3 linked regions of the Saccharomyces cerevisiae S288C genome follow. The gene in region 1 interacts genetically with each later gene. Each region holds a gene or a part of one and is shown in the gene's direction. Other genes may lie near its edges. The genes, in order: COA6, PIC2 and COX20.

Region 1 (2,850 bases):
ACCATTCCAGTAGAACGCTTCGAATTCAAAGGTTAATTCAAAAATATGAGCCAATGGCAAGAATGCGATAATACGGTCTGTTGGGCCAATCCATCCGATAACGTTATGGCCCACACCACCAATACCAGCTACAATGTTGTAATGTGTCAATACCACACCCTTTGGTGTACCAGTGGAACCAGAAGTGTACATGATACAAGCTGGATCTTCAGGCTTGGGGAAATGCAATTCAACCTCGTCCTTGGCCTTTTTACCTATCTCAATAATTTCATCGAAACTGTAGATTTTTATGTCCGGTCTAACTTCCTTGATTTTGTCAACAGCATCCTTGGCAGCCTTGTAAAGCTTACCATTTTGTCTTTTGTCACTTGGATCGATGGGTTCGTTGTGAATGACGAATTTTACGTTCTTGGCGGTTTTCAAAGGAACTGCTAATTTGGACAACAGCTGGTTGTCCGTGAAAATGGCGACGGAATCTGTTTCCACCATGGAGTGAATCAAACCGCTCTCACCCAAAGTGTCGTACGCGGTGACCACAGGAATACCTTGTGACATGCAACCAAGAAAAGTTTTCATCCACTTGTGAGAAGTAGAGGCAAAGATGTGGAACTTGTTCTCACCGTTAGGTTTAACACCAATCTTTATCAGCCCACGTCCAATGTCGTGCATTACGCAGATCATCTCCTCGTATGTCATGGTTATGTAGGGAGTCAGTTCGTAGTACAACCATGTTTTTTCGATGGGCTTATCCTTACCATCCACCCTCTTGACTATGGTTTTTTTCGTCTCATGTATATCTATAATATCTCTCCATGCCATACCGTCTCTCTTACCACCCTTGGTAAAACATTCCAGGGCGAATTCGTACAGTGTAGATGCTGAGGAGTTTATGGGTCTAATCAAAGGCTGGTCTTTAACCCTGATATTTCTTCTTGGAGCGGTTTCATGCTCATTGGCGGCTTCGCCAACTGCAACGGAATATTGTTCGGTCATTTTGATGCGTACTTCTTAGTTTTTCAAGAAATAGTGAAGAACAGAGAAAAAAATGATGTGTTACTAATGCTGGTTCTTTTGTATTCTCGCTTTTATGTCAACTCAGAGGGGTTGCAAACAAAAGAAAGAATGATCAGTTATTGTCTATCTGTTGAGCCTTATCTGAAAGAGGTAGAACAAAAGATGGGCTGTTTTTGTTGGGGTAAAGCGGCGCCGCGAATGTTCTTAATGAGGTGAAAAGAATGCAGAAGAGAAAGATGAGGGCTAAGAGTAGAAAGAACGAGATGAACGAAGGCCGAGAAACACCCAGAATAGAAAAATAGATCGCCGACAATCGAGGGTTCTTAATTGATGGGGACATCGTTGGAGCTTATATAAGTTTGCCGCTACTTGGCGAAGATGGTTGAGCTGGGCGGTTCGGTTTGCGCTTTTGTCTTTCTTGTTACTAAGTATGATTGTTTTTTGTTGGGAAACGGCAAAGACGCGCAGCCAAAAAGCCGAACAGTTTAGTGAGTCTCTTCTTTAAGCGCCCAACACGCTCCATCGTGTTGGATAAAGCGTATGCAACAATTATTTCGGCATCGAACCCGCGGAATAAGCATCGGCTCGGGAGATATTTTTGTTTAGTTGGTATTGTTATCGTGTATAAATTTCTGTCCCTGTGCATTGTGATGTAAATGGCCTATTGTATTGTCAGGTCCCTGTCCGTTCCTTGATGGTATATTGGCACCTGAGCAAATCCAACAAAACCGGGCTCGCCCGCGCGGAAGAAAGTGCGATTGACGATTGTAGCTGAGCTGAACAAAAGAGACGGACATGTGAAACGGTGCTGCGGTGGTAGGTGCTGCTTTGTAGAATGGGGGAGAAGATTCGCCTACATACATACATACATACATACATAGACGGGTACTATTGTAGCGCTGCGCAGGAACATAGATACACGAATATACAGAAAGGAATAGTAGTAATATAGCGATGGGCTTATTTTCATTTGATGGTGGCAAAAAGGAATCACAACCCCCTAATACCCGTTCACAGAGAAAGTTGTGCTGGGAGTCCAGGGACGCATTCTTCCAGTGTTTGGACAAGGCAGACATCTTGGACGCAATGGACCCCAAGAATAGCAAGAGTATAAAGTCGCACTGCAAGGTGGAAAATGAAAAATTTGAGGAGAATTGCGCCCATAGCTGGATCAAGTACTTCAAGGAGAAGAGGGTCATCGACTTTAAGAGAGAGCAGACCATCAAGAGAATCGAGCAGGAAGCTAAACAGAGGGAACGAAATCAGTGAGTTTTTAGTGAGTTATTGGCTCATATTAACATATATATTCCCATAAAACATTTGACAGAAAGGTAATAATTAAAGGATAGTCATGTAGATACAAACGAAAATTTTATGTTTTTTTCTTCGTTTTGCGAAAATTCGCATGAGTGTCTCTGTATATATATATAACAAAAAGATGAAAAAAGGGAAGGTAGAAAAAACCGCGCTAAGTTTTGGCAGTGACGGTGACTGTCTTGTACTTGGTCTCGGTGACCGTTGTGGTAATAACGTCTAGCGGATTCAGTTCTCTCTTGCCTTTAGAAGATGAGCCGCTACCAACATCAAAAACTTCGATGTTGGCCTTGGCGCCGTTTCTGGCGGTGACAACACAAAAGTTTCCACCACCAGCCCCGGAAGAACCACCGCCAGAACTTGTCACTTCGTTGACTCCATTAGAACTTGGGTCAATGGAGCATGGTAGGCCTTCACATTGTGATTCGTCATCACAAGTAATTCTAATACCGAATGAAGGCTTAACGTTCTTGAACGGACATGACGATTCCAGGTAGACGGGGTTCCATCCAATCTTTACAA
Region 2 (3,446 bases), on another chromosome or scaffold:
ATGACTTCAGAAGTGCGCCTATATTTCTTTACTTTTGAACACCCTTCCACCGCCCATTTAGAGAGAGCTATTTTTGTGCCTTCACTTCCGGCAGAGGTTATATTTTTTTTTTTTTTTTTTTTTTGCATACTACTCCTACTTCTTTCTACAGTCTCATCCCGACGCTTCAGTTTGAAATGTAAGGGACTGCGGCATTTGACTGAAAGAAGGGAGAATGGATGGTTTACTTTACTTTTTACGTAATGAAAAAAAAAATGATTGCTGTATTAGGACATCCCTGTTCTTTTATGTGGTAGCCTATATCCGATAACTGTTCAGCTATAAGACGTGAAGAGAGATTTTTTGGTACCCCTTATGCATTCAATTAAATAGAGAATTAGATATTTCTACCGATGTGCATTTTGTATATAAAGAAGTAGGAATCCCTTCTACAACGACAGAGGTAGACATACTGCTTGGAAACATTCTTTTCGTCCTTTTACAGAATTCTACATAGAAATAATAAAAACAAACAATAGCTTTACTACACAGTACACACTACAATGCAAGATTTAGAGATTTTTTTGAGTATTTTCGCTTTCATTTTCGTTTTCTACTTTGGTGCTCATAGAACAGTCATGAACAGAAACAAGAGCGATGTTCCTTACTTGCAGTGATTTAAATCAGCTAATCTGCTTACTGCCGCCAAGAGAGGTATGCAAAGTCAGTTCTACCTAGTCTGGCTTAGCGTTTTACTATTTACGAAGTTGATGTTCTGTTTTCTAATTTATCTTTTTTCTACTCATTCATTTCCACACTACACTTAATATTTTTTCAATAATTTTCGATGTTTTTAATCCGGTTTTCTATTGATGAGCGCCTTCTTAGCTCATACTTAATACACGTTTTTTAAGATTTATACGTTTGACAGCTCACGCTGTTTGACCAAAGTTATTTTCATTTTTATGTTCGTAATTATGTATTTTTGCTATTGTATATGATATACGTCTATATTTAGGCAATTATAATATGATTATAATATAACTTACTACATCTCTAAAACATGCTGTCTAGCCCTTCCATCGCAAGACTCGGCTAGACATTCGAGGAAGGCACAAAAAGCCACCTATCCCCATCTCTCCAAAAAGCTTCATTTCGAAAATAAGAAGGGAAACATCCGAATAAGACTAAAACTTTGTTCCTTCAATGACTACTAAGTTATTAGATGTCAGAAATCCCGCAAAATCGCCCGCATATCAAGGTAAGCGGCAAAACCCTATTCTTGAAAAAATGTAAATACTAACCGTGTGAGAATTTTAACGGTGTATTCCAAAAAGTCAGCACGTGATCTGCTAAGAAATCCGAACCTCGGCCTTTGTTTTTTTTGTTACAGCATAGGGAAAAGACGCATTGTGTCAAAAAGGAACATCGTACCATTACCCTCTCAGCACATAGGTAATAAGGTGACAAGTAGCAAGTGAAAAGTACCGCTTACGAAGAATACTTTAATTCAACGTAGATACTGCAAAATATTCAAGTCATTATTTTTGGCCCTTAACTTGCCTTTCCAGTTCTTAGATTCATTCATATGCTAGCTAGCAACAACGGTCACTTTGGGTTGCATTTCACAATCTCATTCGGCTAAGATCTCGGCTAACCAAAAGTTGGACTTCAGGGGTATTAGCGAAATAAGGAGATCTTTTTTAGGTTTATTCCTTGTTTTTAGTTTCATTTTGCTTAATAAAAAGGAAAATGGATATATCGATTTTCTGCATACCCTGTTACATTTGATATAAATACAGCGGGACCTACCAAATATACTTTCATTTTGCTTGTGTTTTATAGATATTTTATTTTTTTTTCCAGGCAGTCAATGACACATTGTTAACTGAAAGTGTTCTGTTATTGTTTTAATTCTAAAAAAATAAAGTAAGGGAAAAAGAGAACGGACTCATTGACAGTTGTAAAGCATGGAGTCCAATAAACAACCACGTAAAATCCAATTATATACGAAAGAGTTTTATGCCACATGTACCTTAGGTGGTATAATTGCGTGCGGTCCAACACATTCTTCGATCACTCCACTAGATCTTGTCAAATGTAGGCTACAGGTCAATCCCAAGTTGTATACTTCAAACTTACAAGGGTTCCGTAAGATTATAGCTAATGAAGGCTGGAAGAAAGTATACACTGGGTTTGGTGCTACATTCGTCGGATATTCGCTACAAGGTGCAGGTAAGTATGGTGGTTATGAGTATTTCAAGCATTTGTATTCTAGTTGGTTAAGTCCTGGTGTCACTGTGTACTTGATGGCCTCAGCGACCGCTGAATTCCTCGCTGATATCATGTTGTGCCCATTTGAAGCTATTAAAGTGAAACAGCAGACTACTATGCCGCCCTTTTGCAATAACGTTGTTGATGGATGGAAAAAAATGTATGCAGAAAGTGGAGGTATGAAAGCATTTTATAAAGGTATTGTTCCCCTATGGTGCAGACAGATTCCTTACACAATGTGTAAGTTTACCTCATTCGAAAAAATTGTTCAAAAAATATACAGTGTTTTACCTAAAAAGAAAGAAGAAATGAACGCATTACAGCAAATATCAGTCAGTTTTGTAGGTGGTTATCTGGCAGGTATATTATGTGCTGCAGTCTCACATCCTGCAGACGTTATGGTTTCCAAGATCAATAGCGAAAGAAAGGCCAACGAGTCCATGTCTGTAGCCTCTAAAAGAATATATCAAAAAATTGGCTTTACTGGGTTGTGGAATGGGTTAATGGTGAGAATTGTCATGATCGGTACTTTGACAAGTTTCCAATGGCTAATTTACGATTCGTTCAAGGCTTATGTAGGCTTACCAACCACCGGTTAGCTGATCGATTCAATCGGCAAGGTTTATCGTAAACACTCTGTGCTAGAGGAATATTGTATACACAGGATTTCATAAAGTTAGTAAATGACCGGCATTTATAGTTTGTTCTTCTTTGCATATGTCTTAATAAATATTCGTCCTACAATTTCTTTTCATACTAAGAGTTTTGTTATGATTGCCAAATTTCTCAAGCCAAGAACAGGCCCAGGAAAACTTTGAAAGTGCCATATCAGAAACACATTTATAAGGTAGTTTCGATATACGGCAATACTCGATGCATGCCCAAACTTGCCAGCCGCTCGCGATTGAATCTTCTACAATTTTTAGGTGAACATATTCAGAGGCTGAGGCCTTATTTGATAGTAACATCAAATATCACTCCCACAATTTACAATCACTGTCATTGGTCTCACAGGATCCTTTTCTTTCTAGAACTCCCCTAATATCAACTTTTTACTCTACTGTGGCTCTAACCACGTGTATTTTTCAGGCCCATGACTCACCTTTTCTTTCTTTTTCACTAGCAAACGAAAATTTCATCATCACTTTTTTTTTTTTTCACTTTCCGTACGCAGTCTTCTCCAGAGATTCTTT
Region 3 (3,220 bases), on another chromosome or scaffold:
AGATGTCAGATAAATCGTTGGTGTGACCTGGCGTTGGGGTAATTCTCAATCTTTCGGTACCGCGAGCAACCGTAGGGAAGTTGATAGCTTGTACGTAGATTTGATGCTTATTGATTAAGATGTCAGAAGCTTGCTTAGCCAAATCAGCATTACCAATCAACACTGGGACGATATGAGAAGGATTTGGAATAACTGGAATGCCCAACTCATGGAAAGCTTTCTTTACGTACATGGTATGTTTCTGTTGCGAGGTTCTTAGGTCGATGTGGCAACGTTGGTATCTAATTGCTGCGGTAGCGCCTGCCATAACTGAAGGTGGTAAAGTCGTGGTGAAAATGAAACCAGGTGCAAACGATCTGAACCAATCGATCAATTTCCTAGAGGCTGCGACGTAGCCACCTACGCTACCGAAAGACTTACCTAAAGTGCCGGTGATCATGTCGACACGGTCCATCACAGTCTTCGCGCCGCCCTTGTCATTGGTCTTTGGGGTAGCAATACCACTTGCACGGTGACTTTCAAAATCACAATGTTCTGCAACACCTGCACCGTGAGGGCCGTACAGGCCGACCGCATGTACTTCATCCAAGAAGGTCAAAGCACCGTATTTGTCGGCCAAGTCGCAAATTTTTTCTATGTCGGCCACTGAACCGGCCATAGAATATACTGATTCGAAAGCAATTAGTTTAGGAACGGATTTGGGGTATGACTGGAGCAGTTGTTCCAATTCGTTCAAGTCATTATGTTTGAAAATGTGTTTTTTTACGTTAGCATGCTTAATACCGACAATCATGGACGCATGGTTGAGTTCGTCGGAGAAAATCACCAAGTCCTTCATCTTTTGACCCAGTAGGGATAAGACGGCATCGTTGGCTACGTAACATGACGAAAAAACTAAGGCACCTTCCTTCTTGTGTAAAGTGGCCAATTCGGCTTCCAGATTCAAAGTGGGGATGTTATGGCCAGCAATGTTTCTTGTACCACCGGCACCACAACCATACTTGTCGATAGTTTTATGCATGGCGTCCAATACCTCAGGGTGCTTGGAAAGTGCTAAATAGTCGTTGGAACACCAAACGGTGACCTTGTCCGCCTCTCTCTGGCGATGAGCTAGGGGGAACTCCTTGGCCAATCGGTTGATATTGTTGAAATATCTGTACGATTTGTCAAGTCTTTTCTTCTGCAGTTCGGAATCTATCAGGCCTTCGTAATCGAAACCCGACTCCTGGGTGGAATGGTTGGCAGCAGCGGCTGCTGCTGCTGCTGCATGTGTTGATGACGCTGTGGCAGTGGCAGCAGCGGCACCAGCACCAGTAGCGGTGGCATAGCCATTTTTCGCATGTGGTGCGGCTGTCGTGGACAGCCTATTCAGTGTGGAAACAGCGGCAGAGGAGTTACCGAACCTCGCAAAAATGGAGCGTTGCATACTGAAAAAAAAACCTAAGTACTGTTATGATTATTGAGGGACAACAACTAGCTCTATTAGTTTTCCTTCCAACCAAACTTATATGGGCAATATATAGGAAAGAAAAAAGAAAAGAGTGGGATAAAAAAAAAAGAAACGCGAGCTGAGAAGGGAAGGCGTGTAAAGGAAGAACGGTTGAGAGACAGCAGAGCAGGGTGCAACACACAACCGAATAGAGTATCAGCTGACGGAATGGAGAAGTTTGGTATGATGCAAACGTTGTATTTCTAACAACGCATGGATCAGAACAATGGGCAAGGCAAGATGAAAAATTTCCGTTCCTGCTCTTTCTTCATATATGAACAATGACCAAAAAGCGCCCGCGGCCGCAGACCAATGAGCGACGAAGGCGGCCTTTCCGAGCGGTAGGGTAAGCCGTGCAGGCAAGCTTATTATAGCACCGTCGGGGGTACCACCACTATATCAAACTCCACTGCTCGGTAAAGCATTGTAGTGAAGTCCACAGCAGTGCGTAACGAGCAGCTCAACAGTTAATATAAAGATGCGTTGGTGGCCGTGGTCAAATCAGACAGAAGATCAAAAGCAGCAGCAACAACCGCAGGGTAAAGCAGATGGTGATCGCGTGCTGACAAATTACTCGCGGGGTCAAAAGATCCTCTTAGAAGACACTCCACCCAAGTTTGCCGATGACTTGTCCAATTCTCAGTTGGCCAAGAAGCAAGAACGGGCTACTTTGAAAGAGGCTTGGGACTCGATCAGATGGAGTGATTTTAGTTTGCAGAAGCTGACTTCAATCCCGTGCTTCAGAGACGCGGGCATGCTCGGGTTTTCCAGCATGTTCTTGATGGGATCTATTATATTTATATACCATAAGAGCCCGACTAAGGCCACGAATTGGGCGATGAGCTCTCTGATACTGGGCTCGATTGTCGGATGGGAGCAATGTAGGCTAAAGAGACAAAAAAGTTTCCAGATCGCACAATTGGCAAAGGAAACCGTGGCGAAAAAGGAAAAACCAATGCTCCATAATGTCCCTCATGACCCATCTCTGCCGGGGCAATGGGAGGCCGCCAAAAATGAAAAGCAGAGTCAGTTTGAACAAAGTAACCAGAATTTATCTCAGGCCTCCTCTGAGAAGAAATGGTACAAGTTCTGGTGAAAAGAACGAGGGGGAAACAGAAGGTAGAAGCAGGGCCTTTTAACCGTTTTCCTATGTATATATGCAACATTTCTCCGAAAATACTATAACTTCAATTGTTCACTTTCTCCATTTCTATATAAAAAGCATACATAGAGTTACAAATTTTATATATTACTTGACTGGTCTTGCATGCCGTCCGTATCGCTGCTGTGATTGTCATTATCTTCTTTAATGGACAATTGTTTAAACGTTTGTGTGGTTTCCTCGGCAGAGTTTCTCGTAGGCGGTAAAGAAAATGAATTTTCTGTTCCCATCAAATTGTCTGTATCCTCATCTTCGCCATTTTTGCCGCCGCCATTGTTTCGTACCCCGTCCTTGTTTGAACTTGACTGTGAATGATTCGGTGTGGATACCGTTGAGGACCCCTTGGATTTGGGTAAAGATGTTTTTGATGTGGAAGGTTGGCTGGTTCCTTCTAGTAGTTCATTGAGCACCACGTCATTCCCACCCGTTTCCTCATCGCTGTTGTATGCTTCTCCAGCAGTCTCTCCATCACCACCGATGGTCCCGTATGGCCCATCTGCTTTTTTGCTGAAGGGGTCGTCTGCATCACAAAGTAGTTCGTCTAGCCCGCCTCCAGACCAACCTTTCCT

Evidence for each region.
Region 2: mutations in COA6 (region 1) and PIC2 impair growth when combined (synthetic growth defect), as found in Saccharomyces cerevisiae (one study listed by BioGRID).
Region 3: of COA6 (region 1) and COX20, extra expression of one rescues a mutant of the other (dosage rescue), as found in Saccharomyces cerevisiae (one study listed by BioGRID).

Annotation. Positions count from the first base shown.
Region 1 is NC_001145.3:757,950-760,799, reverse strand, and holds COA6 (Coa6p), read left to right. Parts: upstream 1-1,968; coding exon 1,969-2,283; downstream 2,284-2,850. Other genes in the region: long-chain fatty acid-CoA ligase FAA4, read right to left, coding at 1-993; YMR244W (uncharacterized protein), read right to left, coding at 2,483-2,850. UniProt on the Saccharomyces cerevisiae protein: Involved in the maturation of the mitochondrial respiratory chain complex IV subunit MT-CO2/COX2. Thereby, may regulate early steps of complex IV assembly.
Region 2 is NC_001137.3:258,143-261,588, reverse strand, and holds PIC2 (Cu/Pi carrier), read left to right. Parts: upstream 1-1,949; coding exon 1,950-2,852; downstream 2,853-3,446. Other genes in the region: YER053C-A (uncharacterized protein), read left to right, coding at 543-656.
Region 3 is NC_001136.10:925,658-928,877, reverse strand, and holds COX20 (Cox20p), read left to right. Parts: upstream 1-1,967; coding exon 1,968-2,585; downstream 2,586-3,220. Other genes in the region: HEM1 (5-aminolevulinate synthase), read right to left, coding at 1-1,426; IVY1 (Ivy1p), read right to left, coding at 2,732-3,220. UniProt on the Saccharomyces cerevisiae protein: Involved in the assembly of the cytochrome oxidase complex. Required for the maturation and subsequent assembly of the mitochondrially encoded COX2, the precursor of subunit 2 of cytochrome oxidase.